Stegostoma tigrinum: one gene and its partners. The main gene of each other region encodes a partner of the protein of the gene in region 2 in a complex. Links are inferred from orthologs where the notes say so. Each region holds a gene or a part of one and is shown on either strand. Other genes may lie near its edges.

Evidence for each region.
Region 1: voltage-dependent L-type calcium channel subunit beta-2-like (region 2) and voltage-dependent L-type calcium channel subunit alpha-1C-like share a complex: the UniProt entries of both Homo sapiens proteins name them as parts of the calcium channel complex. The link is inferred for Stegostoma tigrinum from reciprocal best matches to the Homo sapiens genes CACNB2 and CACNA1C.
Region 3: voltage-dependent L-type calcium channel subunit beta-2-like (region 2) and voltage-dependent calcium channel gamma-1 subunit-like share a complex: the UniProt entries of both Homo sapiens proteins name them as parts of the calcium channel complex. The link is inferred for Stegostoma tigrinum from reciprocal best matches to the Homo sapiens genes CACNB2 and CACNG1.

The regions. Positions count from the first base shown.
Region 1 is NC_081371.1:22,335,256-22,346,074, reverse strand, and holds the start of voltage-dependent L-type calcium channel subunit alpha-1C-like, read right to left. Parts: upstream 4,956-10,819; 5' UTR 4,828-4,955; coding exon 4,683-4,827; intron 1-4,682. UniProt on the Homo sapiens protein: Pore-forming, alpha-1C subunit of the voltage-gated calcium channel that gives rise to L-type calcium currents. Mediates influx of calcium ions into the cytoplasm, and thereby triggers calcium release from the sarcoplasm.
Region 2 is NC_081355.1:115,623,597-115,634,970, forward strand, and holds the start of voltage-dependent L-type calcium channel subunit beta-2-like, read left to right. Parts: upstream 1-5,707; 5' UTR 5,708-5,853; coding exon 5,854-5,922; intron 5,923-7,615; coding exon 7,616-7,708; intron 7,709-11,374. UniProt on the Homo sapiens protein: Beta subunit of voltage-dependent calcium channels which contributes to the function of the calcium channel by increasing peak calcium current. Plays a role in shifting voltage dependencies of activation and inactivation of the channel.
Region 3 is NC_081375.1:9,583,273-9,594,410, forward strand, and holds the start of voltage-dependent calcium channel gamma-1 subunit-like, read left to right. Parts: upstream 1-6,183; 5' UTR 6,184-6,273; coding exon 6,274-6,514; intron 6,515-11,138. UniProt on the Homo sapiens protein: Regulatory subunit of the voltage-gated calcium channel that gives rise to L-type calcium currents in skeletal muscle. Regulates channel inactivation kinetics.

The DNA of each region.
Region 1 (10,819 bases), on a different chromosome or scaffold from region 2:
TGGAACTGCTACTTGATCGAAATGCAGTAAGGTAAAGCCCACAGTATAATCTCGTTTCAGGGTAGTTGATTTAATTGGATTGAACTCGTTGAATGAAAAGAACCTCTACGTCAAGACTATTTTAGTAATTCAGAGTTTAAAAGTTGATTTTAATTTTTTTTCAATTAATTTAAGTAACCTGTGTAATACATGTTAAATCAATTTTAAATTTAAGAGATTTCCCTCCTATTGCTACAATCATTGCAGTAAATCAAGTTGCCAAAGAAAAAGGTTACATTGAAGTAAAATGTCCTGTTTGTGCTTTGTGAATTGTAGGTACCATAAGGTTGAATTTTTTGTATGTTACATTTTTCCTTTTATTCCCGACATTTCTATAGTAGGTATTGTTGCAAAAATGCGCCACATAGAGAGTTTAAAATAGAACTACTCGCAAATTAATGATAATTGGAAGACTCAGGGTTTTCTTAATGTTATTTACAGTCTTGAATTTTTAAAGCTGTGACAATATTTAGGGCCAACTCTAAGGTTCCACAGAACAGGGAGGCATGAACCTGAGAGGCATTCAAATTTTTAGACTGAGCATGCTTAACTTCCTACAATGTGAAAATGAATCTTTCTTTTAAAAAAAATCTCTATCTTCGCTCATTTTTCTTCTGGATAGTATCAGTCATGTCTTAGAAGTTGAGAATAGACTCTGGACTTCTTCCTGTTCAATGGATAAGTCCTGTTCTCGACGAAGCAGTGGGTGCTGGTATCTGAGCAGTATCTAAATAATTCATAGTGATCATGCAGTCAGAAATGTATTTCTATCTCCATATTTTGGCATGTTCGTTGTATCATTTTGTCCTTCCTCAAGTGGTTGTCATTTGATTGCTTTAGTGGAGCCACTTATTTCTCACATTACAGCAGTGTCTATGTTTTCAAAAGATAGTAAATTGGCTGTATCATGCTTTTCATGATTGAAGGATCTTCCAAAGCATGCTGAAAATGCATTTTTAAAAAAATACGCTGTGTACTAAGACAAAGGCTAAGAATTAGATGCATCTGAATTAGAAATAGTTCTAAATGTTTTGGATGTGAACATTGCTGACAGTGCTATTATTTGTTCTGCATTCCTAATCTCCTTTGGAAGGTGGTGGTGAAGTCCAAATAGAGTACATAAGCAGTGTTATGCCTACACTGTGTTGAGGAAAGGAGTTTGAATATTTTGACTTGCTGACTGTGAAGGAATGGGGATGTGTTTCCAAGTCAGAGTGGTGTGTGGCTTGGAGGAGAATTTGTTGCTGGGATTTTCCATGCATCTGCTGCTCTTGCCTGACTAGGTGGTAAATATTGTGCATTAGGAAGGTGTTATTGAAGGAGCCTTGAGAAATTTCTGCAGGGAATCTGGTAAACGGTTTGCACTGTAGGAGCGCAGAGTACATGTTTTGAAGGTGATGCACAATTAAGCAAGTTTCATCCTCCTTGGATGATTTTGAACGTCTTCTGTTTTAGAACTACACTCATTCAGGCATATGGAGAATCTTTCATAATGCTCCTGATGTGAGTTTGTTCATGGTGGGTAGGCTTTATGCAGTCAAGACGTGTTACTTCCCTTAGATTGTGGAATTGCAGTGAGCGCAGGCCCCTTAGACTTTTCCCCTTTTGACCTACATTTCACTTTTTGACATCAGGTTTTATTATGTGTCACCACAGTTGTCATCAATTATTATCACTACTACACGGTAATGGAGTGGCCACAAATTGAGAAAACATTACCTAGGGTTACCCATAAATTGCAAATAATGGAAAGGTGCTTTGTATTCATGCCCTCTTCTACAAGATGCTGCTATTTTTCATCTGAAGGTGAGGTAGCTTACTGTATTGTAACTACATCTGACTGAGATGCCTATGGTTCCTATCATCTTGGAGGTGTCCATGGTATTTTCTCCAAAGGCAGTTGCACCTGGAACATAATTCCAGGCATGCAGTTCCACCTGGTTCTGCCCCAATGACTTTTTGGTCATCAGAATAACTGAATCAATGCTATGGATCTGATGTTTGGATAATCAACTTATTTGGGCATGTTGCGATCTATTCCCTGGCACATTGGACTTGAACTGGGATTTCCTAACTTGAACGTAGGGCGCTACCACTGCACCAGAAGTTCCTTGCAACATCATTTTTTTTATTTATTGTGTTTTAAGCCAATTGAACAATTTTTTGAGCCCAAAAAACCAACAAAATCTGATGTTCTAACAACTGAGCTAACCTGGTTGCTGTTAAATATGAGGTTGCTAATTGTCACGGTACAGATGTCCAGCTTACCCAATTCAAAGGTCAATGGTGGAGATGGTAGTTACAACAGTAGTAGTTGTGGAATTAGCATTTGCAAGGTAATAAAGAAGCCAATAATTAAACAAAACTCTGCTGATGGCCAGACATTGCTCATTTAATTTACTTTTGTAACTGAACCCATACTGAGAAGAAGTACTAGTTGAAATTTCACAGAGTGCCGAATTTGCATTTTTATTATTGAGGAAACTGATCTTTTTTAAACCAGGTCCATTTGTGTTCTTTGAACCATATAGAATAAGATGTGAGCACCAGCTAATGTGAATGGCATCCATAATAATGAATATTAGTGAGGACAGTTTGCATAGGTGAATTTGATTCCTGCACAATGCTCACGTGGAACATTTATTGTGCAAATATAGCATTTACTTCTTCATTGAAGGCCAGAACAAGCAGACAAGTGGCTGATGGAACTTAATAGAGACTGTGATTACAGTACTTGTTTTTCAGATGGGATGAAGATCGGGGTGAACTGAACTGTCATTTTCTGCTGTCGGAATATTGCCACATGCTGCTAGTGTTTATTTTTTGATTAGTAGCCATCTAGTTAAAGTCAGGATGGTGGGCGCAAGGTTCTAGAGGGTGGTCACAGCTGTTAGAACTGGATTTTAGTGACAGAAATGGTTTTCTTCAGATGGGGACGGAGAACAGACAAAGGTGATAAATCGATTCAATCGATATTGTTCCCTACCTAGCGAACAGGTATATTGAAGAAATCTGTATAACGGTCTTCAATTTTTGTAACTTCATGAGAATTTAAGGTTGTGGCTTAGTGGTAGCTCCCTTGCTTCGGAGTCAAAGATTGTGGCTCAAGTCCTATATAGAGATTTGAGCATTCAAATTAGCAGCTCAATGCAGTATTGAGGAGGTGTTGTGTGTGCAGTCTTTTGATGTGACTGTATATTGAGGCCCCAACTCTGTGTATTTGCAAACAAGTTCTCATAGTTCTATTTGAATTAGAGTTTCAAAGTTCTTGTGTCTCTGTCATTGTGTTTAGGCTTTTGAAGTAAGTTTAAATAAGATAATCTAATCATGGAATCCTTTGCTGAATAGCTTCATATTTCTTGCATTATAGTGACTACATTTCAAAGGTAATTAATTCGCTGTAGGTTACTTTGCAACACTGAGGTTTTGGTGCTGACACGTAATGTTTTAATTGTACTGATTAAATTTTTGTTATCATTCTAAATTACTTTAAAATAATGCATGCATAAAATGAAGCCACTATATATAGTTGCAAATGATTCATTTCTTAAACAAATTTTATCTACATGGCATAGAATTCTTACAGCGTGGAAACAGGCCGTTTGGCCCAACAAGTCCACACCAACCCTTGGAGCATCCCACCCAGACCCATCCCCCAAAAACGCACACACCGCTGTACAGGCTAGGTGGATTGGCATGGCCAATCCACCTCACCTGTACATGTTAGGACTGTGGGAGGAAACCGGAGCACCCAGAGGAAACCCACACAGACACGGGCAGAATGTGCAAACTCTGTGCAGATGGTCGCCCAAGGTTGGATTTGAACCTGGGTCCCTGGCACTGTGAGGCTGCAGTGCTAACCACTGAGCCACTGTGCTGCCCCATATATTAAACAAAGACTGTGAAGAATTTTAGAAGTGCAATTTAAATAACCTGATGAATTTCTGTTATAGTGCATTATGAAATTAATGTTTTGCTTGCATCATAAAAAATTGTGACCCCTGTTGAATAGCAAATAAAAACTGAAAGAACTGCAGATGGCTGTAAATCAAGAACAAAAACAGTTCTGAGGAAGGGTCACCAGACCCGAAACATTAACTCTGATTATTCTTCTTCAGAGATGCTGCCCGATCTCCTGAGGTTTTCCAGAAACTTCTGTTAAATCGTAGTTTGCTAAACAAATTTTTATGTTGCTTTGCAATAATGTATCAGGTATTCAAAGACTTGTTTTTTTATCAGGAAATTAGAGATGAATTTGGTATGTTTACAGCATTTCAGTAACTGAGGAAAAACACAAACTGCCAAGGTTACTATAAATTTCATAGTATTTTGGCAAATATAGTTTTTTGCACGTTTATTCTTTTAATTTTAAACATTACTTTTATGTTTATATTTGCAAAATTATTACAATTGTGATATCTGTCTGTTATTGATAAATTAAGACCGGGAAATATCAGTATTTAGGTATTTGTAAAGGTTGGTAATATAAATTTGATCACATTTGATGGGAGAGAAATGCAATTAAGACATCATCTTCTAATTTTGGATCCAAATCTAAAGTGCAGTTATTAAAACAACTTTTTTCTAAAATATTGTTTTAAACTGTTATCGTTTACATGGGCAAAGACATGAGAAAATCCTACCTCCAGGACAAGTGTAGAAGCAATTCAGCTGTGTCTCCTTCACAATTATGCCTTTGTACTTGATATCCATTGCTTGTGTTGGTTGTTTGGACAACTGTTTGGAGGCTTTCTGATGAAGAACTGATGGAAGCATTTTGCCTTCCATGGCAATAACACAATGTTCATTAAAAATACCTTTTGTTTTGCTGAATTCTCTGAAATCAATCTCTGAAAGTATGAGTTATTTCTTAGGTTCTGCCCATTGAAGCACAGATGAGGGGAGAATGCTTATTGTTTCTGTGTTACATTCAAAAGTGAGAGATGAAGGAGGACGGTGACTTTATATGTTGACTTCCTCCACTCTAAGGAGTTAAATTGTGGCATGCGTTTCTGCATCAGTGCTGACGTTTTGATATAGGGCCTTCATCTCATTAAGAGGAAACAAAGATAAAAAGTTTCAGCAATGCTCCAATTACAAGTCAGTTAAGATTATAAAATTCTCCCAAGAATTTGTCATGATCTTATAATGAACTTTCAAAACATTCTCTACATTTTTAACCCAGCTGTGTGTGGGAGCAGGTAGCGAGAGAAAAGAGAAAAGAAATGCACATTTGAAGCAAGTATTACTGATTAATACATCTTCTCGAGCCTCATAAAACAAAAATTACTAAAACATTTTTCATACTGAGGGAAGTGTGGGAAAATTAGGTATCAAGTTGGTATTATGTGTAGCATTGGTATAAGTTTATAGACCATATTTTAAACTGTGTTCATTTTAACAGAATAGTACAAAGTGTTCTTTGCATTCTGTTTGGGTTAATGCCATAAATCAGTTATTTGTTATAGCCAGATGAAATTGAGATTTTTTTTCTTTAAATGTCATGGCAATCAGGCTCGTTAATCGCTCTCCTATCAGCATCATAAGGTTGTGGGTATTCGAGGTTTGACATTCAGCTGCTCATTAAAAGAGCACGATTGATTGCTATTGACCAGTTAAGATTATAAAATTTTATAATCACTAGTAAGAAGGAACTTCAGCACCTACACTGACATGCAGTGGTATTGCCATCACTGAGCCAGCAGCATCAACTTCTTAATTAGAAACTGACTTGGACCAGCCACCCGCACAATGACCACTGGAAATCAGAAGCTGGATATTCTGTCAGAAATCACACGACACCAGGTTAAAGTCCAACAGGCTTATTTGAAATCACAAGCTTTTGGAGTGCAGCTACTTCGACAGGTGAAGTGACAGAGAAATACATAATGCAAAATTTATGAGCAGAAAGATCAAAAGATCAAACAAATGGTTGGGTGGAGTGTTGAATAATAAGTCTCTGCAGGTAATTGCAAGTGTTAGACTGTTTGAGTGAAGTGTCAGCAGCTGAATAACAAGCAAAGGGATTACCTATAATCCGATTAAATGAAGCAGAGAGATAATTACAAAAAATTAAAAATAAAGTGGTGCTGGTGACAAACCAAGTCATTGGAATAACACAACAGGTATAAGAGCTGCACACCAAGTGTCTTACCAAAGTAATAAGTCATCCAAAACTGTATAAACTAATTGAGAGGCCATAACAATTTATCCAGGTGATGGTGTCAAAACAGGAAGATGTTACAGATACAGTCAGTGCTGGGGGTCCAGTATAGCGTGACATAAATCCAAGATCATGTTTAAGGCTGCCTTTGTGGGTATGGAAGTTGACTATCAGTTTCTACTTGGCAGTTCTGCATTGTTGTGTATCTTGAAGGTCGCCTTGGAGGACACCTTAACTGAAGATCAGAAGCTGAATGTCCTTGACGGCTGAAGTGCTTCCCAACTGGGAGGGAACGTTCCTGTCTGGTGATTGCCTTGGGTCATCCTTGCCTGCAGCGAACGAGATACATGACCAAGTTGGCCAAGTCACGTGAACATCTGCCATGTGCATGGTGGGTGGTGTTCCATGAGTGATGGTAGTATCCATGTTAATGATCTGACATGTCATACAGAGATTGCTGTGGCAGGCTTGTGTGGTGGTGTGGTTGATGTCCTGAAGGCTGGGTGGTTTGCTACGAGCAATGGTCTGTTTAAGATTTGGTAGTTGTTTGAAGGTGAGAAGTGGAGGTGTAGGGATGATCTTGGCGAGATGCTTGTTGTCATTGATGACATGTTGAAGGCTGTGAAGAACTTTGTGTAGCCTCCCTGCTCTGGGAAAGTACAGGACAATGAAGGGTACTCTTATCAGTCATGTCCTGTCTGTCTGCTGAGGAGGTCATTATGGTTTTTTGCTGTGGCACGTCAAAACTGGCGATGGATGAGTTGAGCATCGTAGCCTATTATAAGGGCATCTTTTGAAACACTTAAGTATCCACCACATTTCTCCTCATCTGAACAGATCTTGTGTATTACTTTGCATAGACCCTCAGCATGCAATTCTTATATCTATCATGTTATTTCAGTCAGTTGGTTTGTCTCCAGCACCACGTTTTAGTTTTCATTTTTTGCAATTATCTCTCTCTATGTCAATTACTTGGATTATAGGTCATCCCTTTACTTGCTGTTCAGCTGTTGACATTTTACTGACACATCTAACACATTTGATCACCTGCAGAGACTTCTTATTTGTCACCCCAATCACATCATTTGTGTGAATTTTTTTGATCTCTATGCCCATAAATTCTGTGTCTGTGTGCTATTCTCTTACCTCACCTGATGAAGGGGCTACACTCTGAAGGCTTATGATTTCAAATAAACCTGTTGGACTGTAACCTGGTGTCATGTGACTTCTGACTTTGTTCTACCCAGTCCAACACTGGCACCTCCACATCATGGATATTATTTGCTTGCTTCCTGATGCCTCCTGCCTCCAGCCTCCAACCTCCACTACTGACAGAGGTATCACAGAATACTTTGCTTGCTTGGATGGGTTCAACTGTCACAACATGTTGGTGAACTGAACAAGCGCTTCAGCCATTGTTCTATGCTGAAAAGCCAGTGTACACCTACAAGATTCTCTGCAGCAGCTCACCAATGATTCTTCCTTTTACAGGAGTTAAAGTCTGGGACAGAACAGCCATGATCTTGTTCTTTAGTAGGACAGGCTTTTGTGTCTAAATGATAACAAAGTGTGGAGCTGGATGAACACAGCAGGCCAAGCAGCATCTCAGGAGCACAAAAGCTGACATTTCAGGCCTAGACCCTTCATCAGAGGGCCCGAAATGTCAGCTTTTGTGCTCCTGAGATGCTGATTGGCCTGCTGTGTTCATCCAGCTGCATACTTTGTTATCCTGGATTCTCCAGCATCTGCAGCTCCCATTATCTCTTTAGTGTCTAAATGGACTATTTTTAGTTCCTGTTTCTTACATTTTTGTTACCTCCCAAACTTACGACCTTCATACAGAAGGTAAGACAAGCAGCTGCATGGAAACATCGTAGTGGATGCGTCATTCCTGATTTTCAGGTAGATTACCATGCAATTACACATTTTATTATAACTGTTATGCTGTTGATTTACATCTGCAATTAGTTTTACAATCTTAGAATGTACAATTTCGGTTATCAGTTAATTGTTTTTCCTTTTGAATTTTTTAAGTAGATAAGAAAGGGTTCACATTTTCTTGACCACCTGACCTTGCAATGCACTTTACAGTGCAATTAAGTACTTTCTGAAGTCTAGTCACTGTTGTAAAATAAGATTCATGGCAACCAATTTATGCACTGCCAGCTGCCACAAACAACAATGTGGTAGTGAGCAGGTTATTTTTTTAATGATGCTGATTGGGGCACCAATATTGGTCAAGGATAACTTGCCTGCTGTTCGTTGAAATAGTGTCGTGTGACCTTGTACTTTTACCTGAGGGGGTGGATGGAGCCTAAGTTTAGCATTTCATGCCAAAGATGGCAGCTCCAGTAGTATAGCCCCCTTAGTACTGCACTTAAGTGACAACCTTGGTAATTTTTGTGTGCTTGCTTTCTGAATTGTGATCTTGAAAATCAGAGGGATGAGTGAACTGAACCACAGTTGACAAACACCTCATCCTCGCCCATCGCCCCCTCCTCCACAACCATTGCCTTACCCCCAAATTAGCAGTCCATTCACCTTGCAATGGCTGTCTGTTTAAGGTTCAATATGAGTGCAGTGATAAATTTTGCTGAATGGCCAAATGCATTATTACTTGGTTGGGAGTTTACTGGGATGGTGGAATGGCTTCCCTACTGGGGGAGCAGAGTAATTAAACATCCTGGCAGCAGTGTTCCCATTCCCAAATAAGGCTTTGATTCCATCAAGACTCCAGGAGACCGATCCAACAGAAGTGCTGCCTGTGGATGTCAGGCTTCCCTTAGTCAATTCCACCATATGTTTCAGGTTGTTGATTAGAATCTATTAAAAATACACTATATTAAAAAAAAACTTGTTAAAATTATTTTGTTTTTTGTTAAGGTTATTTTTCTTAGCGTTCAACAATTTGATTCTGTAGCCTACTGTTAGCAATTGTACTAAGGAGAAAAATATTTTCACTTCCGTTGAAAACCTCCTCCATTTCAAATCATTTGTTTAGTCAATCCGTACAACTTTCTGAAAATATGCCTTCAGTGTAGGTCCTTCGCTAGCAGGCAGAAAGCATGCTCAAATCTCTCCCTAGATTACTCAAACAAACTTGTTGGCACTTTAATTATCTCCTCTTCTGTGGAAAGTTTTGTCCATATCACATGATTAGGATTCAGGAGCTTGATACAGTAAATTCTGTAGAAACTGCAGTAATACTTAAATGTGCATTCGAAAATGTAGTGGGATTTGATAAATCAAATGGCACATTCTTCCTTGTGCTACTAATTTTTGGTTTTCTCTGAAACTAGTTGCAGTATATCTGCAAGTCGTATTTGCAGCCATGGAATGTGAAGATAATATGATTAATAATCTGTAGTAATATTTTATTTTCTTTGCAGAGAGAGATTAGGGGTGCATAAAAGATGAAAGTTGTCGAAAATTGCGTTTATTCATGATAGAAGTGATATTGTACTGTGACTGGAACCAAAATATAGTGCAGTGGTAGTATTGGTGAATCATACACTGCCCAGTGGACAAATGTCTTTTCCATATGAAATGCCTTGTTTAAATTTAATGTAATATTCCTAAAATAGTATAAACAGAATGGTAAAGTGAAGTTGAAACAGAAGCACATGATCCAAACGTAGATTTGCAGTTTATGATTGCTGTGTAATATTGACAATCTAATGACAATTAGTCAAAGCGATTCATTAAAATTTTATGATGTGGAGGTGCTGGTGTTCGGCCGGAGTGAGCAAGGTTAGAACTCATACAACATCAAGTTATAGTTCAACAGGTTTATTTAAAATCGCATGCTTTAGGAGTATTGCTCCTTTGTCAGGTGCCATGTGACGGGTGACATCAAAATTTTAATAAGGTTAGAATTAGCGGACTTTCTTGTAACTTCTGTGTCTTCATTATAAAGACAAAACTTATTGCCATTTGAAGTCTAAGTTGTGACTTGCACAGTCGTTTTCAACAATTATGCTGCTCATATTCCAGTTTATAGGAACTATTTTGAAATGAAAATGTTTCGATGTACCATCTAGAGTTGGGACTTATTTTGATGATGACAAAGAGCCAGATATGTGAAGCTGTAAAAATAGTTAAATACCATGCAGCCATTTTAAAAACAAGCTAATTAGTTTACAAAATTGAATGTTCTTTAAGATTGGTTAGATAGTAAATGCTCCACAGGAACTAATCAGGTATTCAATAATAAATATATCATGTCTATCCTTACATTCCAACAGTGATTGAGAAATGGTCCGAATCTATTTTCATGGATTGTCTCAACACACATAACTGCAACATGTAGACAGAGAAATTCTTAATGCCTGGATTTTTGCAAATGGTGTGGGTTTTTTCATTTTGAAGTAAACCTGTTAATGTTTTTGTTGATGCGATGGATGCATCTTTTGAATTATGGAGTATGTTAAATTCCATTTAAAAGCTGAGTAACCTAGAGCAGATCCAGAACACCCTGTCCTACTTTGCTGTTTGCCTTTATTGCTTCAAAATATTTCTGCTGCGTGTTATTAATGGTAGCATGCTGGTCTTTGTCAAGCGAATTCAGCAACAAACCAAAGAAGCTGTGGCACAGGGAGCAAATTTTTTTTGTGCGGG
Region 2 (11,374 bases):
CATTCAGAATTTTAAACAGATCCTTTCAACTCGCTGCAACAGTAGGTAAGTCTTATTGCAACTGTACAAGATGACCATGTCTGGAGAACTGAGAGCAGTTTTGGTTTCCTTATTTAAGGAAATATATTGTTTCATTGCAGCCAGTCCAGAGAACAGTATTTCGGAAGAGCCCTGGTTTTGAGGGGGCATCTTATGGGCAAAGTCTAATCAAGTTGGATGTCTAGTCACTGGAATTTAAAAGAATGAGAGGTAACCTCATTGAAACATGTAAAATTCCTAATGTGTTTGACAGGGTAATTGCTGAGAACACATTTCCCCTCAGATATAGTCTAAGAGTATAAAACTGAGATGTGGAGGAATTTATGATCTCAGAGGGTCGTGAGTCTTCGGAACTCCTTGCTACAGAGACATGTGGGGACAGAGACCTTCTGTATGCTTAAGGCTGAGGCAAATAGATTTTTGGTCATCGGTGACAAGGCTAGGAAATTGGAAATGAGGAAGGTCGGATCAGCTATGATTGCATTGAATGGTGGAGCAAGCTTGATAGGCTCGATGGCTGAGAGCTCCTTGTCCTATTTTTTATGGTCTCATTAAGCAATTCAAGCTCAATCTTTATATTTTTCTACATTAGCAATCAGTTGACATATAGCCATGCAAATCTTCTATGCATTTATGCAGATAATTGCTGAAAATGCAATCTTTCTATTTTGAAATGAATATTTCTATTTTGATTTCAATTTCACCAGCTTTGTTGTATACTGCTAACAACAGCTATCATTACAACTATTACAGTTTCTATTTATTTGTAAATCTATTATAACTAAATACAAGAAAAAAGACAGGAGATGACTAATCAGTACATCAAACACATCCCATCCTAGTCATACATAACTTACATATACTATTTACCCCATTTCTATAGATGCCTTCATCTCATTACCTATACACATCCATGTGCAGGCAGTTGTGGGAGATGTAATAAATTTAGGAAGCAAGGTTAACTTGACTCTGAGCTCTTAAAGGGTCCCAGGAAAGCTCAAGGAGATCATGATGACTGCATGATCAATCCCTAATAACTCACCTGTTGTCTCATTAATTTATTCAACTCCCTTTTAACTGGGATCTTGCTTTTTTGTTGCACAAAATGGAAGACTACACTTTTCATATGAGGGTAAAATTCACATTTGCTCTGTTTGTATGCTGAAATTTTAGTGTCATTTGTCATCAACCAACAAGAAATAACAAACCAAACAAATGATCACTTCAGATGTTCAAACATCGACAGTTCTAATTCACATCTTTAATCTTCCACAGGCCCATCAAATGTCTCACAGGATGCATTACAGGAGGAGTGTGAACACTGCACAGAGGAAGATGGGGGGAATGTAAAATACATCAGATATTGAGCCCATTTCCTTCCCAACTATTCCCAGAGCCATTTATCCAATATAATGAGTAGGGAAAGGACCAGACTGCCATCGTTAATTCTGTTGATACCCTCAACTTTCCTTTTAGTAAAAGTTAAGGACATCAATCTGCCTGCAATGTAGCAAATTCTGGACAGGGGTTTGGCCTGAGCACAAAGGCTACTTCTAAACTGACATTTCCTGTGTGCATTTCAGATTGCCCTGCAAGATGTCACTGTCAGGTCTCCCTACCCTCATCCTTCTCCTCCCCTACTGAGTAGTGAATACTGAGAGAGTGCAGCACTGTCAGAGGTGTTAAAGTGTGAGGCTGGATGAACACAGCAGGCCAAGCAGCATCTCAGGAGCACAAAAGCTGACGTTTCGGGCCTAGACCCTTCATCAGAGAGGGTGGGTCTAGGCCCGAAACGTCAGCTTTTGTGCTCCTGAGATGCTGCTTGGCCTGCTGTGTTCATCCAGCCTCACATTTTATTATCTTGGAATCTCCAGCATCTGCAGCTCCCATTATCTCTGTCAGAGGTGTTGTTTGATTGAGGCATTAAATGAAAGTTCTGCCAGCAGTGTCAACGGTCTAAAAGATTTCATGGTTGAAGAAGACCAAATGAGTGATCTAAGTATCCTGGCCAATATTATCTCTCAATTAATGTCACTAAAATAGACCTTTGTTGTGTTGCTTCTTGTGGGAGATTGCTGTGTGCTGGTCTGACTAGCTCAGTTAGTAGAACATGAGACTCTTAATCTCAGGTTTGAGCCCTGCTTTGAGTGTTGCTGATTTCTCTGTGTGAAGCCCCATCCCTTCAGCAGTGTCACTATGACCACAATGAGTTTTTAGGGAGGGGCGTATATACTGCAGTGGTAGCATTCCCTACTGTTGAGCCACCTGCTCCAGAGATGAGTCTGAACAGATTGATTATAAATATCTGCAAACTGCCTCAATACCTAGTGAGCCAAGGGCATAACACAAAAAAAAGTATGTGCTGTGTTCAGATTGGCTGCTGCCTTCCACATTAAATCAATACGTTAAAAAGTATTTCATTGGCTGTCCAGCAGTTGTGAATGGCACGATATTAAGGCCAGTATTCACTTTGTCCATGCTGGCTCTTACAAATACTCGCTACACTCAGGATGCCACCCTCAGTAGGATTGGTTAGAATCTTGCCTTAGACCTTCATGTTCACTATCTCACTAATATTGTTGAAAAGTGCTGTTCTGATTATTGCTAGCAAGTGAGAAATGACAGTGAAGATGAAGCAAGGGAATGTGATGGAGGGTACTTTGATCAAACTGCTCCAGCTTCTCATCTATAGTACCCCTTCTTCCCTCAGTCACAGCTTCACGTGGAACCTCATCCTGATGACTGAAACCAGCCCTGTACAAGTGCACAGAGTGCAGTTTCTCACCAGCTCCCACAGCTCCAAAGCTTAGAGAAAGTCAAAAGAAAATCTCAGCAGTTAGAGCATGGATCTGAACAGCCTGAAACTACCTGACCACATCATGGAGGATTGGAAAAATAAATGGGAGAGTACATTCACAAAAATGTTATGTTGTTAAGGTTCTGCTTAGATTTTGAGCCAGGTAAAACTTGATGCTTGCTCACCTTGCTGGTCTTGCTATTCTCGCCAGTTGCCTAGTAAGTTGCCTCTCATGTGGGAGTGAAAAGGCAAGACATAAAGCCAAGCAATGATACATCGCACAGTGATGAGTTGTTAATTGCAGGGTCATTTTATGTTTGGGGAGGTGGGAGGGTTGGATTGGTGGGAAGGGCATGCATGTTCGGCATGTGGTTGCCAGATGGTGCAATGGTATAATCTAACTATGCCACTGAGGTATCCTGCACCTCAAAATGTTTCACTACTGGTGCCAGGCTCCCAATCCTCCTGTTCCTCCTTCTCTTCCTTTGCAGAGAAACCTCCTCTCCTGCATTTAAACCTCACTGTAGATGTACATTGTGTCAAGCACAGCCCAACACAAACACATTTAACACCCTGGCTGGAGCATATCAAAAGGCACCTTCTGATTCATTCAACATCAGAAATGCATCTTCTGCATCCCGTTTGTTGTCTCCATTGCACATTGCTACAATTATAACCATATGATGCTGCACTGTTGGACATCATTGCTTGAGCTCCTCATGGGTGTCATTTGTCACATTTTAAGATAACAGCCTTTGTCTCCAAGGAGCCAGGCTGTAAATCTATTCTGAGGCCAACATGCTAAAGTGCAGTAGATTACAGCAGAATGAATAAGTCACAGCAGCTCCCTGGGAATCTTTCACACAACTTTGAGCTGATCTTTTCATGGTCTCCCACATACACACTGCAGTACATTGACGGAGTAAAAATTCCTTCATGCTCATGAACACCCAAGGAAGTGCCTTGATACCCACATAAATGCTGCACAGGTGAAAGACAATCAGAATCCAAGGAGTGCTTCCTCATTCTGAATGCGCGTATTGATTGCAAAGTAACTACAGTGTCACCTGGTTAAGCTGTCACTATTCATCCCCCTCTCTCCCTATTTATTCCAGTTCCCTCCCCCCATCCCCCTCTCTGATGAAGGGTCCAGGCCCGAAACGTCCTCCCCCTCTCTCCCTATTTATTCCAGTTCCCTCCCCCCATCCCCCTCTCTGATGAAGGGTCTAGGCCCGAAACGTCAGCTTTTGTGCTCCTGAGATGCTGCTTGGCCTGCTGTGTTCATCCAGCCTCACATTTTATTATCTTGGAATCTCCAGCATCTGCAGTTCCCATTATCTCTGATACTATTCATCCAGTTGCAATTTACAGTTTATATTTATATTTGTAGTTTGCATATATATCCTGTAGACTCCTGGAATGATTGGAAGTTAAGGGCAATTGTCACTTTAGCAGCAGCCACTGGCAAAGATGCTCACTGAATCCAGTGGGAAGCACGTTTTCTACCAGTAGATCGCAGCACATACCATGAGCCTCTTGAGATCCTGCTGTTCAGCCATGAATCTATAAAACCTCTGATGTAATTAACACTCGTGTGAGCTACAACTGCTGTGCAGATTTGCCAGAAGAAGGCAGTTGCTGCTCCTCGTGTAAAGTTCAAGGTAAAGTATGTGAACAGCACTAATGCTGATATAATCAATGACAGACAGAAAGCCTCCTTCAATGCAGTAGAAATGACACCATATTGGAAATCACTCACAAATTAGTGAAAGTACACAAACTGTGTACAAATACTGAGAATGCTGTAAATCTGAAATAAAAACAGAAAATACTGGAGAAAATCAGCAGCATCTGTGGAGAGAGAAAAACAGTTCACATTTTGAGTCTATTTCACAACTTCAGTGATAGCACACTCTGGACACAGGCAGTGAGAATGAAAACCTCTCATTTAGTTAAGGATGGAGCTGATAAGTGTCAGTTCTTATTGCCGTTTTTGTTTGCTTGATATTTCTTCAAATTCCCTCGACTGCTCCCTTTGAAAGCCTTTGCTTTCACCATTGGGGTCCTGGAAGCTGTGGGCCCATAGTTAATTACACTGTAGGCTTCCTCTCACACTCTAATATGGCTGTTTGTGGGTAACATTTCAGGTGACAGCCTGACTTTCACACATGGGTGGGGTGCATTGTCACTTTCACACATGTTGAATGTGGAAGTTAAAAGATTTGGAGACAGCAAACGTATCCGGTTCTCTCCATGAACTTAACGTCAACCAACACCACCACCCCGACCTCGGCCAAATGTATTGGGAGCCGATTCCCCCAGCTCGAGTGGTGCATTTCACTCAAGGGTATTACACCGTTCTAATAGCTGGTTACATAGTGAGCTCCAGTGGCGACAGACTGCAATATCCACAAGCACATGTATGTATGGCCCAAAGGTTGAGGGTATGCAGCTTGAACAACGCGAGTGATTGTCAGATCTGGAAGTTGCTGAAATGTATTAACCTCTTCCTTCCGAATCCGGAAAGGCGATGGGTTGTATTATTGTGATGAAAAGAGCATTTAGTGATGGGCGCATTTGGCATCCCAAAGAAGTCGGCAATAAAGCCCCTCCCTCTCTCCTTCCTCCCCGCAGCCAGGAGGGCGGGGATTGCCTGAACCTTACATGTCTTGTAAAACCAAAGCACATCTGCTTTCCTTTTTTTAAGAAAAGCGTGTGGCACTTGTTTCCTCCGCGATGCGAGGTGCAACAGTCTCAGATTGAGAGAGGGAAGAAAACAGCAAACCGCAACTAAAGGCGAGGAGCCAAGTGCTGCTCCCACCCCCTTGTGGATGGAGCAGGGAATTTTCAGGGTGGGTTCTCCTTCCTCCCTCCCTCCCTCCCGGGCTTTGGGGGCGATGCCAGTTATTCAGTGATTTCACCAGCTACCGGGAAGTGAAATGTCCGTTTTCTCTCCGCTGGAGGGGATCAGTCCATAGCGAGCGTTCTCCTCACTGAGAAAGATCCCAGTCTGTCAGATGGTTCACAGCGACATGTCCAAAGCGCAGGAGATTCGGATGGGTATACTGGAAAACCCCAGCATGCAGGTAACTCGTAGCTTGATAGCAAGACATTTTATTCTCCCAAGTTTCTATTGTAGTTTTACACCGGTGTGCCATTGTGTGTGTGTGTGTGTGTGTGCGCTCGTGCCAATCTCTGCACGTCTATGTGTGTGTAAATATGTACCTGTGTGTGTACATAGGTATGTATCGATACACCTACATCTCGTAAGACTTGTTGAATGAACGCAGTAGTTTGCAGACTGCCGTTAACTGCTCGCCCATTCAGCTGCTAATATCTGGCTGTTTCTCTTCTGGCAAAGTAACAAATTGTACCTGCTTCTTACGAATGTCCTGGGGTGTGTTTAAAGTGTATTGATTCGTAAAAATCCAGTGGAAATCTGCCAATCTCTTGCAGCCGGGGATCTTCACACTGAAAAACGTACTCAGTTAACAAGCAGGTAAACTGAAGCGAACTTTAAGATCGCATTAGAAAGTTTTTTTTTTAACTGCCTTACCACCGGCTACCTGGTCGGATACAAGAGCTCGAGATCGACTCGCTGAGCTCTTTAGGATACATTGATCTAACTTCTTCCACTCCACTGTTAAATTTGTAATTTAACTTCGTAGATAAAATCCAAATTAAGGTCATCCTGTTATTTCTCGGTTTCTACTTAACGATAAAACTTTATATTTACATTTTTAAGGCATGAATTATTATTGGTCAAATTGCTTATGCGAAGAATTTATAATAGGATATTTTAAATACAAGGAGTTTGGCTGTGGTGTCTTCCTGGTTAACATTACATTCATTTACATGTAAACAAAGGAACATTGATTTTAACATCCAATATTCTCTCAAAAATAATGCATCATCTAAACATTGAAGTAATTTTTAAATAGAATGCATTGACATCCTTAGAAAAGCATTTGACTTTTATTTAACCATAAATTTGTGTTGACATATTTTTTGACAACAATGGCTTCTCACTAATGCTTTTGAACCTCCCCAGTCAAGTGAAAGAACACTTTATTGGAGGATCTTTCAGGATGGCAGTCCCTCAGGCTCATAAAATATTTTTCCCCCAATAGTTCCGGGAGTTTACCCCATTATTGACAGAAATAATTAACAGTGTACCTGTATCTAGATTATAAACCAGTGCACTGTATGATTTTAGACTTTAAATCCCTCCAGAGCATCAGTTTGTGGATTCAACAAAGTAATCAGTGATTTCAAAACACTATTTTAAGCAGATTTTACATGGAGTGTATTTGTAAAAGAGAATGCGACATTGTATACCTGTTCAAACTAGTAGCTTTTCTTTGGTCAGCCTATGAATTTTATGTAATGGCTAATTCTTATTGTTACAGACATGTGTAAGTCACTCAGCCCTGAATGCATTATTTGTGAAAGAAATAAATTACCATGTTCCTTCAAGTTAAATTGTTGGAATATGCAATTTTAATGTTTTCTTCAGTAAATTAGCTGCAATATTGCACCATTTTCATCACTTTGCAAAATGGCAATTTTTTTCTGATTTGAGTTTGTTTTTCGTTTTGAGCACACCTGTGGGTTTAAATTTTGTGGCTAATTCTCAGAAATATCGTTTTTAATTTGTTGAATGACTCAGAAGAAGGCCATTTGGCCCATTGAATTTTATTCCTTTTGATTTCACTAGTTAGACTGAGAATTAAGACTGACTTCCTGAAGGTGATGATATTGCATTATTATTTCTCTCAGATGTCTGGAAAAGGTGCAATTAGGAAAAACAGATTTAAAGGATCCGACGGGAGCACCTCCTCAGATACCACCTCTAACAGCTATGTGAGACAGGTAAGATCCAGATCTTATATGTTTTAATTGCTTTTTGATGAAAAACGTAATACCAATAATCATAATTCCAAAGATAACAATGTAACTTTAAGACCTAAACAATAGGAGTCATTGTGTTCTGTGCCCGTAACAAATCAGCCTTTGCTGATTTCATTGGGTAGATCACAACAATGACTGTGAAATATAGTGATAAAGTATACACCTCAATCTTTACTTTCTCTAAGATTTTACTTTTTTTGGAACAAAAACAGGATGACAGATTGAATAATAATAATAATATTTAATGCCTTGATTTTTCAGAAAAAATCTTTCCTGGCCTACTGTAGACTGAAATCACCTACATTCATGATATTGATGCACTTTGGGCCTGAACTCCTAGTTCAGCTCTAAATCTGAAACACCCCTCTTACGTATTGTAATATACTCATATTACTACATTTAGTGAACCCTTAAAAAAGGCCAAATCTGTCAATTTGTATTTAAACACAGGTGCAAGCTATGACCATTGGCTTTAGATCTGCTTCAGTGTTAATATTTTTTAAAAGCTTTACATCATTGGAAAGGCAGTATCAAGAAGGCAATTCATCATCACTTTCTCAAGGGCAACTGGGAATGGGCAAAAAATGCTGGCTAGCCAGCGATGCCCACATCCCCCAAATGAATAAAAAGGCTCTAAGATGTTACTCTTAAATTTGAAAATTGTAAAGGTGTTGTCTAAATAAAATGAATCTTACAAAGCATATGGGAGTAAATTCTTTAAAGATGGCTGTGTCCATTAATAATTATTTATTGTAGCATTCTTTCAGTCATAGGAGACATTAATATGGTGAAAGGGAAGCATTTTTCCAATATTCCCCAAAAATAAAACATTGCATTTGTTTTAATCTCATATAAATATAAAATGTCGACCTGTTGGTCTTTGAGTGTTGGAAAGGTGTCAAACAGGCACGGTGAATACCAGCTGGCTGAGAATTAAAATGTTATAAGTAGCAGCCAGCTAACACTGCAAAACATATCGGACTTAGAAGACAGACAATAGTGTGAAATGGTGACTAAAGATATATCTGCAGGAGTGTGACAGAATATGTGACAGAGCATAACATGAAACAAATCAATCGGAATTTTACTTATTTCATTTTCTTCAGTGTGTTAATGTTGGACTGAGCTGTGGCTAAAGGCTGTCAAGGAGACCCTCATATCCAGGCTAATCAAGTCAGCGCTGTTCATGTTGGACTGTTTTATGCTTTTGATTCACAATAAATGCATTCTTGAATGGATGATGTTATTAATAGAGGCTGTTGTGATGTAGAATTGTGTTGCCATATCAAGCAATTGCTTGTTGCTTAGTATGCCTAATCTAGATATATTAATTTGCTATCAATATCTAACATTCTTCCCATTTTCCCATCCCTTTTACATACTTGTTTGAAGGCAAAATGGTGCCAACAAATCTCTTGGTGCCTGGTTTCTGAAATAAACTCATCAGCAATTGAAGACATGGTGTGAAATACCATTAGCGACTTATAAAAAAAACCTACTTCCTCTGGTGGATTATGTTATCACACCATGTGAGTGTGTTTGTCACTGTCAAAGAACAGGAACACTAAGCTTGGAAAAAAACTCTTCAGTAAAAAACAATGAAATTGCAAGACTTTGAATGTTTTAAGAAACTGACATCTTGCAACTTAAACCTAAAAACACTCGAACGAATTGTAATTTCAATTATGATTTCAATTGTTGTCAACTGTAGCTCAGAAACCAGCTATCAATGTCCTTCTGTTCAGTTGTTATTAATTTGATACGTCTGAAGACAGCAGCTAGTGCAGTTGAGTGTGAAAATACATTAAATTATGCTAATATTTTAGCTACAGTGTCTGATAATGTTTTTACAGGCATTGTATTGATGAAATGCTAACGGGGAAAGGTTTACCTAAATTTCCTCCTCATGCGACAACTGTGAAAATTACACAATAATATTCTTCACTCGACAACTTACAGAATTTTCGTAAAATTAACTTTTATTTTGATGAGCACACTGATAAAACTATTACAGCAAGTAACTTTACAAAAGAAGTTGTTGAGTTCTGAGGGAAGGGTCACCGGACTTGAAACGTTAACTCTGATTTTTTCTTCACAGATGCTGCCAGACCTGCTGAGCTTTTCCAGCAACTTTGTTTTTGTTCCTTAAAAAGAAACATGACCTGATTTTGAAACTAGTGGGGTTTTCTGTGGAGAATGCAATAAAGGATTATTTTTGGTATTACCTATTACTAAAACCATACAAAAACATTAAAACAAGACTGTTCAAATTTTATTACTCATTGTCGAATTAAATTGAGCCTGAATTCATATTATCCAGTTTATTGCTTTCTGTCCAAATGATTCCAGTTCCCTTGCTTACAATTACATCATTTTAAGATTGTTTTTCGTTGTCAATTGCCAAGCTGAATCATAAATCTAGTCGAAAATTCAACAACCTAGTTACTTGGTTCAATGTGTTATAGGTTGTGATTAAATCCACCAGTATCATCTGAGATTCTCTGAGATAGGGATGGCAACTGGAATGTGGTCCTTTATTACATAGCGAATGGAATATTAAAATATTGCAATTTTCATAAAACTATACAAGGCAATAGTCAGATCACACCTCCTATACTGTGAAAAGTTTTGGTCCTTTTATTTGAGGAATGGCACACTCTGGCAGTCTACAGAAGGTTTACCAGATTGAGCCCAGGTAAAAAAGGGCTTTCTTATGAGGAGAGTTTGAATCAGTTGGGTGTGTACTCATTGGAGTTTAGAAAAATGAGAAGTGCCCTTCTTGAAACTCATTAGATTTCTACAGGGTTTGTTAAGGTGGATGTGTAAGATTGTTTCACCTTGTGGCAGAGTTCAGAATTGGAGGGCATAATCTCAGTAAGGGGTCACCCATATGAAGACTGAGATGAGGAAGGATTTCTTCCCTGAAGGTAGTGAACCTGTGGAATTCTTTACTGCAGAGCTGTGAGTATTGAGTAAAGTGAAGCCAAGTCGGAGGTAGGCATTTGTTTTTAAACAATACGGCTTATGGCAAGAGGTAGGCTAGGATTATCAGAACTGCCATGATTCAGTTCTTTGGTAGAGCAGACTGAATGGGTCAAATGACTTACTTCTGTTTCTATGTCTTGTGGTCTTAACTAAGATCCTTCGAGTAGATTCCCTCAAGGCTTTTTATTGAGGTTAGTTTAAGTGACTGAAAGCAAGTGAAGAGGGATACTCGCATGAAGTCTTTGCATAAGAGGTATGGCCCTCCCACCCAGACTTAGGGATACACAACAATACAGAGTTGTCAAGCAGAGGCTGATAGCCACGTTCCATACCGATGAGGCCGGTCTCAACCAGGATTTTGGTTTTTCACACTGCAGATGACCCCACCAGACTACACACTCTCTCACAAATACGCATACATAGACAAACGCACTCACATGAGCGTACTCACACAGACCATGTCTCATACATACATACTCATACATACTGACACAGTCATGCCTTGTCTTGCTCAAGCAAGCGCACACACACTCTCTCAAACACAAACACACACACACACACACACACACACACACACAAACACATATGAAATCTATGGGGTGAATTTGCATTTGAAGATTTGTAATTGCAGATATTTTGTTC
Region 3 (11,138 bases), on a different chromosome or scaffold from region 2:
CCCCCACAGCCTTCTCCACCCCCACTCCCCCAGATCCCACCGTCTCCCCACACCCCAACCCCCACAGCCTTCTCCACCCCCACTCCCCCAGATCCCACCGTCTCCCCACACCCCAACCCCCACAGCCTTCTCCACCCCCACTCCCCCAGATCCCACCGTCTCCCCACACCCCAACCCCCACAGCCTTCTCCACCCCCACTCCCCCAGGTCCCACCATCTCCCCACACGCCAACCCCCACAGCCTTCTCCACCCCCACTCCCCCAGTTCCCACCGTCTCCCCACACCCCAGCCCCCACAGCCTTCTCCACCCTCACTCCCCCAGATCCCACCGTCTCCCCACACCCCAACCCCCACAGCCTTCTCCACCCCCACTCCCCCAGGTCCCACCGTCTCCCCACATGCCAACCCCCACAGCCTTCTCCACCCCCACTCCCCCAGTTCCCACCGTCTCCCCACACCCCAGCCCCCACAGCCTTCTCCACCCCCACTCCCCCAGATCCCACCGTCTCCCCACACCCCAACCCCCACAGCCTTCACCACCCCCACTCCCCCAGTTCCCACCATCTCCCCACACCCCAACCCCCACAGCCTTCTCCACCCTCACGCCCCAGCTCCCACAGCCGTTTCCACCCCCAGCTCCTACAGCTTTCTCCATTCCCAACCCCCACCTCATTCCCACCGTCTCCCCACCCCTCAGCTCCCACAGCCCTTTCCACCCTCACGCCCCCCCAGCTCCCACAGCTATTTCTACCCCCAAGCCCCCAGCTCCCAAAGCCTTTTCCACCCCCAGCTCCTACTGCCTTGTCCACCCCAACCCCCAGTTCCCACCATCTCCCCATGGCCCCCAGCTCCCACAGCCTTCTCCACTCCCACCCCCCATTTCCCACCGTCTCACCACCCCTCAAGCCCCCCAGCTCCCACAGCTATTTCTACCCCCAAGCCCCCAGCTCCCAAAGCCTTTTCCACCCCCAGCTCCTACAGCCTTCTCCACCCCCATCCCTCAGTTCCCACTGTCTCCCAGCCCACCCCAGCTCCCTCAGCTTTTTCCACCCCAATCCCCCAAGATCCCACCGTCTCCCCACGTCTCCAGCTCCCACAACCTTCTCCACCCCCACTCCCCAGCTCCCACACCGACTCCCTTTACTCGTCCCCCCACTCCCCCAGCTTCCACTGTCTCCCCAACCTCCAGCTCCCACCGCCTTATCCCCACTCCCCCAGCATCCACACCATTCCCCTACCCATGTTCCCAGCTCCCACACTGCCTGCCCTCACAACCCCCATCTCCCACCGCCTCCCTTTCCCCCTCCCTCACTTTCCCAGCTTCCATCCCCTCCCCTACCTCACTGGCCCATCTCCCACCTCCTCACCCCTCACCGGAGACCCCAGCCCCAACAGCATTCTCCACCTTCCAGCAGCCCCCCCCTCCAGATTCCAATCCCTCTCCACCCACCCCCGCCATACTCCCACAGCTTCCATTCCCTTCCCTTCCACCCCAGCCCCTCACCCTCTACCGTCTCTTCCACCCTCTCCAGATCCTGTAGCCTCCCCCTCCACACCCCCCTCACCTCCAACCGCCTGCCGTCAACATTCCTCCACCCCTCTATCCCTGTTCCAAAGGGAATGACCTAATCATAGGACACCCCCCATCTCCCCCCACCGGCGGGGTTTTGTTTTCATTGCTGTGGCGCCTGCTTGGACAAGCAGCAAGTGTTAGACCGAGAGAGGAACTGCGACCAGGTAAAGGTGGAGGCGGGGTGAGGGAGGTCACCCAGGACAGGGCGGGAGGGTGAGAGGGCTGAGGGAAGGAAACATAGAAGAGGGAAAGGAAAGGCTTTGGGAACATCGCCCAATTCCTTCCCCCCCCCCCCCCCCCCACCCCGAAAGCCTGATGTGCCCACACAGTCCCAGCCGGTGAACATTTTGTAACATTTAATAGACTCGCAGCATCTCCTGAGTGTTCACCCGAGCCCGGGGCCACAGATTCCGGGTTCCCCTTCGGTGTCCGTGCCCCCATTGCCACAGCGCCCCCCCACCCCCCACCCGGGCTTTCATGTTGCGTTGCATTTCCTGGCTTCGGTTCTCACAACCCCCAAACCCCCCAGCGCCCCCAACACTGGGGTGGTGTTTCCGACCTCCCGGGGGATGAGGGGGCCGTGAGAGTGGGAGGGAGGGGGGCGGTGATGTTATTGGCCACAGTAGGCAACTTCTCCTCTCCTCACCCCGCCCGCTTCCCCGAGAGATACCACCCTACCCTACCCCCGTGCCCCCGCTTTGAGTCAGTGCGTGTGAGGAGGCGGCGGTGAACTGACATCTGAATACTGTCTATTCCCAGAGTCTGGAATCTCTTCCGCATCCACTCAGTGCTGGGGATGGGAAGAGCAGACCCTCAGTGTCTCCATTGGTTTGTGTTTCTTGTGATTTCTCCCATTAGATTGTCACACGTGTCCCTGTAAAACTGTGAATGATTAGATACTGCGTGTAGTCCGTGGGGAGCCCTACTAAAACTGATGTAGAATTAAGTGACTGTGGAAATAGTGGCTGGAGAGAAATGCTCCGAAGTAGCGCGTTCAGCTTTGTACGTGGATTGGGTTACTGTCAAGTGTTTGTGATAATAAAGCAATCTCTGGATGAACGGGAGTCTCCGCTGCTGAGGAGAAAGGAAGTGTCTGTTCATTGAAAAATCATTGAGTCTGCGTTTGACTGGGATCAGAGTTGGAGACAGTCAGGTGGAACTACTTGAAGCTCCATCTCACGTCCCTTTAGTCGTACAACGACAGGACAATTGGACGAACTTAAAAAAAAAATCAGAGGTCACACGACCTGACCTTTTCTGAAGAATGGTCTAGTCCCGAAACGTCAGCTTTCCTGCTCCTCTGATGCTGCTTGGCCTGCTGTGTTCATCCAGCTCTACACCTCGTTATGTCAAAGGTCACACGACACCAGGTTATACTCCGACAGGCTAATGTGAAAACACAAGCTTACGTAGTGCTGCTCCTTCGTCAAGTGACGTGCTTCCTGTTGCTCTATGACCTGATGTTGTGTGACTTCTGACCCTGTCCACTCCAGCTCAACACTGGTTCCTTCGCAATCAAAAAGAAAATACCTTAAAATACACACAAGAAGATGATGTTATAGAGGCAGACCAACAGAAGCACTCCAGTGAACTTTCAAAATATTTTATTCTTTCAGTTAATGTGGGCATCACTGGCAAGGCCAGCATTTATGCCCCCCCCCCCCCCCCCCGGTCTCCTCCTGCCCATTACCCTTGAACTGAATGGCTGGCTCAGCCATTTCAGAGGGCAGTAAGAGTCAGCCACATTTCCGTGGGTCTGGAGTCACATGTAGGCCAGACCGGGTAAAGAAGGCAGATTTCCTCCCCTCAAGGGATTCGTCAAATTGTCACTGAAGGACAGTCTCAAGCAGGGGTGATGATCATGTCCACAGCAGGCGAGAGAACCCGGTAACCCGGGGCCTGGGGCGGAAGCTCGGCAAGTTCCAACCGGCTCGCTCTCTTCTCGACCCAAGCCAGGGAGAGCTGACTGGTACCAGTCTGCTAGCTGATGCCTACAACATCACATTTCCCCGACCCCAGACCACCCCACCCCCCTTATAATGAACGGGAAAGCGCTGAGGAAGACATTAGCTGTGCCCTAACACAAGATACCAATTGACTGCCTCAGGCCAAGAGTGGGCGTCACGGAGCTGGATAATAAGACAGAAATGGGGGTGGGGGTGGCCGGGAATCCCAAAGAACTGCGGATGCTGGAAATCAGAAATTGCTGGAAAAACTCAGCAGGTCAGGCAGCATCAGAACTTTTCTGAAGAAGGGTCACTAGGACGAAAACTCTTTTATTTCCCCTCTCCACAGGATACTGCCTGATTTGCCGAGTTTTTATCTTGCCCCCACTCATTTCTGATTTTGATGCTAAGGAAGGAATCTCGAAAGAGCTTTCTCGGAAAATTCCTAGAGTTTCCAGTGTTACTTAACGCATGATGGTGATGCTGAGAATCGGTGCGTGTGAGAGTTGGCGCAGTGTGAAGGTTCACTGATAGTCTGGTAGTTGCTCGAGTGGGACGACAACACAAGGAACACACATTAGCCAAACCATCAGGGGTGGGAGCAAAGTCCATCACAGTGCATTTCCTCGCAGCAGGGTTTGAGTGACAGGCCAAGAGCAAAGTTAGCTTAACATGGTCAGATAGATTTAAGCGACTCTTGGATAGGCACAAGGAGGATAGTAAAATGTAGGGTTGTTGCGGAGTAATTTTATCTTAGAGTAGGATAATAGGTCGGCACATCATCATGGGCCGAAGGGCCTGTGCTGTTACTGTTCTATGTTCATGACCCGCAAGCTCATCACTTACTCCCTTACACTGGAAGGTTTTGTTTGGATTCTGTCAGCACTGGGGAGTCTGTGGAACCAGGAGTGCACGCTGTTCCCCTTTTTAATTGCAGCCTCCTCTGGGAAGAGACCGCAGGTCCATTGGGGTTTGCGGGATGGAGGGGGGGGGGGGGGGGGGGGGGAGACAGACAATGAGAATGAGACTTGGCCAAAAAACCAGCGCCACTCCTCGGCCCTCCAGGGACCGAGTCTGAAACTCCTGCCCAGCTCAGGGTTGCGCTTATTCCCGGATCATGTCCTCTCGGGGCCCACAGCCTCTGAATGAATGAAAGCCCCAGCACTCCCTATACCCTGTCCCCTCCGGGGTACCCGCTGGCAACAGTCTCACAGCTTGGCACTCTTACAAGCCCTAACCACCTTCCCCCCTTTCTGGCTGGGCTGGTCAGCAGTTGACACAGCTCGGTGCTGACTGTAGGGAGACGCGGTGTAGAGTAAAAGATAACAGGAACTGCAGATTGCTGGAGAATCCTAGATAACAAGGTGTAGAGCTGGAAGTTGCTGCTTGGCCTGCTGTGTACATCCAGCTCCACACGGAGCTGTTATCTCGGATTCTCCAGCATCTGCAGTTCCTACTATCTCCGATACCATTTTAACTTCACTGCGAAGCCTCTTCTCAGGATGCCTAACCTGAAGACGTTACCCTCCTCCCTCCGGACAAACCTCAGAGGATCTCTCTCCCACTGCAACCTATCTCTTGCCTACCTCCCCACCAACACTCACCTCTACTGGGTCCAACCCCGCCTCTTTAACTTGTCTGTCTCCTCCTAAGGGCCTGAACTGTGCTGTACTGTTCTATGTAATCCCCTGATCCATGTTATCGCTGAGTTCTTTTCAGAGCTTCTGACCTATCCCCTCCCTACCTCCCCACCTATACCCTCCTTTCCACCTATCTTCTCGTCTATCCATCTTCTATCCGCCTCCCCCTCTCTCCCTATTTATTTCAGAACCCCCTTCCCTCCCCCATTTCTGAAGAAGTGTCTAGGCCCGAAACGTCAGCTTTCCTGCTCCTAAGATGCTGCTTGGCCCAGTGTAGAATAAAGCGGGTCGGGTGGGGTGGGGGGAGAGCGGGGTGGTGTGGGCTCCTTTGGTGCATGGTAGTGACCCTAGTTCTGAGCTAGAGGAACCCGGGTTCAAGTCCCACCAGGTCCACAGGTGTGTCTCAACGTCCCTCAACAAGCTGGCGAGGAAAGCTCCACAATAAGGCGAGTGTGGGTCCGACATTCAGAGTGGGACCTGCCTGAAACTGTCCCAGACTGAATGACGAGGAGACTGGGCAGAGATCTCCTCTCCCCCAGATAGCACTGCGATTCTTGTTCCTCTCCGTGGAGACCTCGGCCACCTGACTCCCAGACCAGCGGTCGCCTTCAAATCTGACAGTTCCTTGAATGTGGAACTGTGATATAAATATACACACGGCAGCGCCCGGCCGGGAACAGCTCCTAATAGAAAGCTATTCAACGCCGGGCCAATTCACTCACAAGTTTGGGGGCCAGTGTGCGTGTGAGGGGGTGGGGAGGCGTGTCACACGAGGGGCGCAGAGGAGGCTCCCGACAAACCCTCAGCAAGCATCCCATATACTAACCTCCCACCCCAACCCCGCCATTCCTGAAGGTTACAATCGTCCCGGAATGGAATTACATCCCCCCCCGGGGTAGAATGGCTCACGCGTCGGTCTCTGTCAACCTGAGGCTCCCATATACAGAGAGCAGCAACTGGGCAGTGCCAAGGCCAGTCTAGAGTGCATTGGCCAGCCACCAGACGCCCACCCCCCCCCCCCAACCTCCCCGAAACCAGCCCCGGGGGTTCGGGGAGCGGTCAGTCAGTGCAGGTGCTGAGAGCACCAGCACCTTCCTGCTCTTCCGCAGCACTATGGAGGAGGGTAAAGCAAGCAAGATAAAACTCACCTTCTGTGTGATCGCGGTGGGTATCATCCTGGCGATTGTGGCGGTCAGCACCGACCACTGGGCAGGGCTCAGCCCCCGGCTGGAGAGAACCAACTCCACTTGCGAGGAGGCTCACTTCGGCCTCTGGAAACTGTGCACGAAGAGGGTCTTTGTCCGGAGTGTGGACCCGGACGGGAAGGGCTGTGGGAATGCCGACCTGCCAGGAGGTAAGAGAGAGAGCTGTCCTCAGGCACACTCCAGGTCTGAGGCAGGAACTCAGCGGGCTGCAGCTACCTCTCTGTCTGAAAAGAATTCATTCTGAACTTCTCTCCAAATTTACCGCGGTCAGTTGGCCAGCACTTGAGTTGAGCAGAAATTACAACATAAAGGGATTCTTATTGTGTATGTCTTCATACAGTGTCACTACAGCCCCTGGTTGTGTGAACGGTAATAGGTGGGTATACACTGTCCTTTATGCCGCTTTTAATTCACTCCTGGGACATCAGTGCCACATTTATTTGCCCGTTCCTAGTTGTTCCTTTAGAATGTTGTCTTCTTGAACCATTGTAGTCTATGTGCTGTAAACCCACAATGCCATTAGGGAGGGAATTCATAGTGAGTAAGTATTCCCCAGGACAGGGAAGTCCAGATCCAGGCCTCACAGTCTAAGGATCCTGGTTAGATAAAAAGATAAAAAGATCTTCACCCAGAGAGAGTGGTAAGCCTATCGATTCACTGTCACAGAAAACTGGCCAAAACATCGTACGATTTTAAGAAGGAATTGGCTATAGCAATTGGAGCTGAAGCGGTCAAATGATATGTGCAGAAAGCAGGAGCAGACTGATGATCAGTCACAGAGTCATACAACACAGAAACAGGCCCTTCGGCCCAACCTGTGCATACTGACCAGGTCTTCCTGAACTGAACTAGTTCCATTTTCATGCTTTGGGCCCATATCGCTCTAAACCTTCTCCTATTCACGTCACTGTTCGATTTTTTTTAAAAAAATGTAATTATACCAGCCTCTAACACCTCCTCTGGCGGCTCGTTCCGTACATGCACCGCCCTCTGCGTGAAAAAGTTGCCCATCAGGTCCCTTTGAAATCTTTCCACTTTCACAGTAAACCCCTAGTTTTGGAGCCTCCTACTCTCAGTAGAAAGACGTTGATTACTGACCTTATTCATGCCCCCTCATGATTTTATAAGCCTCTATAAGGTCAACTCCCAGCCTGCTACTGAGAAATAGTCCCAGCCTATCCAGCCTCTCCTTATAAGTCATGATCTTAATGAATGGCAGAGCAGGCTCGAGGGTCCGACTCCCGCTCCACGTAGAGACATTAAGAACTGCCGCTGCTGGAGTCTGAGATAACAAGGTGTGGAGCTGAAGGAACACAGCAGGCCAGGCAGCATCAGAGGAGCAGGAAAGTTGGCGTTTCGGGTCGGGACCCTGCTTCTTCAGCTCCAGTTCTACACTATTACATGGGTGACAGTGAAATAAATGCAGGATAGTTTGATCTTAGAGTAGGATAATAGGTCAGCACTAAGGGCCTGTATTGATCTATGTTATCTCCTGCTCCATGTTATCTGTGTTTGTCTCTGTATCAACTCCCATGTGCCTTCATAGTGTATTAGCAACGGACTCAATCTTCACCAATCTGCAACGGAGCAGGCCCAATAGAGACGGGACCCAGCAGGTTCATGTCCAGGCCAGCTCCTCTCCGTCCATTGAATGGTACAATTAAAAAACAAAGGCTGAGTTCTTTTCAGAGCTTCCGACCTATCCCCTCCCGACCTCCCCACCAATACTCCCCTCTCCACCTATCTTCTCCTCTACTCGACCCGCCTCCCCCTCTCTCCCTATTTATTCCAGTTCCCTCTCCCCATCTCCCTCTCTGATGAAGGGTCTAGGCCCGAAACCGTCAGCTTTTGAGCTCCTCTGACGCTGCTTGGCCTGCTGTGTTCATCCAGCCCCACACTTTGTTGCCTCCAAGAGTGCAGGGAGCCGGGAACGCTGTATGCCAGCGAGCAGCCTGGGAACGGGGCGAGAGTTGAGTATTGGACACAAGCTCGAGTTCGGCTGAGAACATTGCCCGTGGCTTTTTAAAACAGAAAATCTTCAGCATCGGCGGGAATGTTTAGACCCTGTAATCAACGTGATGGTGAGAGTAGCCAGGCAGATCCCTCCGGCTGCACTAACCCCTTAAAAAAGAATTTTAGACTAAGCTGCCGCTCACTGCAAACACGCCTGGAACAGGTGCTGGAGTGTAAAGGTATCCGAGCGGTCCCGGAGTTAAATATACCATCAACAGAATTCCAGCCTCTCGCTCACTTTAACACAAGCATCTTGTCTCTGGGTTTATCAAGCATATCCTTCAGCATCATCGGCTCTCTGATAATTCACCAGGTATTTAGGGGTGAAGCAAGCTTCCAGTCAGCACCATGTCAGTGACAATATGTAATTATTACTTCAAGGTCTCTGTCTCTACAGCTTCATCTGAAATCCTGTGCAGCATAATAACTTCCTGGTAGCAGCCCGGAATATACAGTTCATTAAGAGTTTAACAGACATGTCGCTTTCTGCTCTTCGCTTGGTTGGACCGTGTCGTCGGTATTTCATAGGCTCATAGAACGCCTTCAGTGTGGAAACAGGCCCTTCGGCCCAACAAGTCCAAGTTGACCCTTGGAGCATCCCAGCAGATCCAGCCCCCTTTAACCCACCTAATTTACACATCCCTGTATACTACAGGCAATTTAGCATGGCCAATCCAAATAGCCTGCACATCTTTGGACTGTGGGAGGACACCCACGCAGACACGGGGAGAATGTGCAAACTCCACACAGACAGTCGCCCGGGTCCCCGGCGCTGTGAGGCTGCAGTGCCAATCACTGAGCCACCGTAACCAAGCCCCCTTTCAGAGAAATGATGAGGGGCATGGATAGGGTGAAGAGTCAAAGTCTTTTCCCCAGGGCAGGGGAATCCAAAACTAGAGAGGTGTGGGTTGAAGATGAGAGGGGAAAGATTTAAAAGGGACCTGAGGGGTAACTTTTTCCACGCAGAGGGTGATGCGTGTATGCAATGAGCTGCCAAAGGAAGTGGTACAGGCTGGCACAATTACAACATTTAAAAGCCATCTGGATGGGAAGGGTTCAGAGGGATATGGGCCAAATGCTGGAAAATGGGACCAGATTTGTTTAGGATATCTGGTGGGCATAGATGAGTCAGGCTGAAGGGTCCTGTTTCTGTGTTGTACATCTCTGTGACTCCATGACTGTGTGTTATCACACACCTCTGGAACAGCTTGGATTTGAACTGGGCTGCCTGGCTCAGAAGCAAAAACAGAAATTGCTGAAAAAGCTCAGCAGTTCTGGCAGTGTCTGTGGAGAGAAACCAGAATTAACATTTTGGATCTGGTGACTCTTCCTCCTGGTTCAGAGATAGAGATACTACCACAAGAGCCCCAAATAATTGTGACTTGGGCGTGTTGTACCCCAAGTCTCACATCTATGGTTAGATCAATAGCAACATTTGGAGTGAAGGTGCATTTGCTTACTATCATATTTCCGTCAATCATGCTGTTTAAATCTTTCTGTAATCCTGGACTAACCCTGCTTTGATTTGAATGGACCTTGTAGTTTATCAGCTGCAAATTTGACTAATTTATACCAAGCTTCTGAAGGTAAGGACTCACCAATTTCTCAAATAGCTTGGTCCATTTGTCTGCCAGGTTTTAGAGGTAGCCTGTTTGTTCCTCGGTCTGATGGCTTTGAGTTCACATTCCACACCAGAGATTTCACAGTACATGTAGGACTGAGCAGGTGCTGCACCTTCAGAGCTGACACCTTGTTGATAAAATATTTTTAAAAAATTATTTAAAACTGAAATACAGCTATGGAGTCCACCCGAGAGGGCAGTATCTCAAACGAGGGAATGCGACTTCTCTCCAGGGTCTTGGCCAGAATTCATCTTTCACCCCCAATCATGGGAGATAGGTATCCACTCTTTATTACATTTTTGGGAGCTTGCTCTGCAAGAATAGGCTCTCATGTTTCTTACATTCCAACAATGACTTTAGTTTAATAGCATATAATTGGCTGTTAATACTTTGAGATGGCCCCAGGCCTTGGCTGTGATTGCGCTCTATATTTTAGCCAATTCCTTATCTATTCCCAAAATTAATTTGGAATCTTTGGGTTTTAAGTCACCTTTTTAATTCCAGTTACCTTTGGAAACCAAACTATGGAAAACCTGAGAGTTGAGTTTGGTTGTTACTTGGTCCAAAATGATTGTTATGTGGGATCAACCACATTGACTGATCTTGACTGGGTTGTAAAACCTCTACTCAGATTTTCTCCAATGAATTGGTCCCATCAATTTGCACGCAGTGGAAGTAAGTCCATGGATCTGAAGTTATACATCTTTTCTATAACTATTTTTGAATTCACACATTCACACATTCTAATTTTGTTGTCAATTTACAACAGTGTCTACACACTCAAAAGCATTTCATTGGCTGTAAAGAACTTTGGGAACATCCTGTGGTTGGGAAAAATACTGCGTAAAAATTATAAGTAATAGGAGGAGTAGGCTATTTGGCCCATCTAGGCCAGTTTGCCATTCACTAAAATCATGGCCAATCTGTGTCCTCAACTCCACTATCTTGGATGACCTCAGAAACCTAATACCTTCTTGATCAAAAACCTATTTACTCAGCCTTGACTGAATTCACAGGATCCAATTGCTGTCTGGGATTTGGAATTCCAAAAACTACCAACCTTCTGAGTGGAGAATCTTCCTCGCTTCCATATTAAAAGGGACAGCCCTTACGTTTAATCTGCATTTCCCCATGTGGG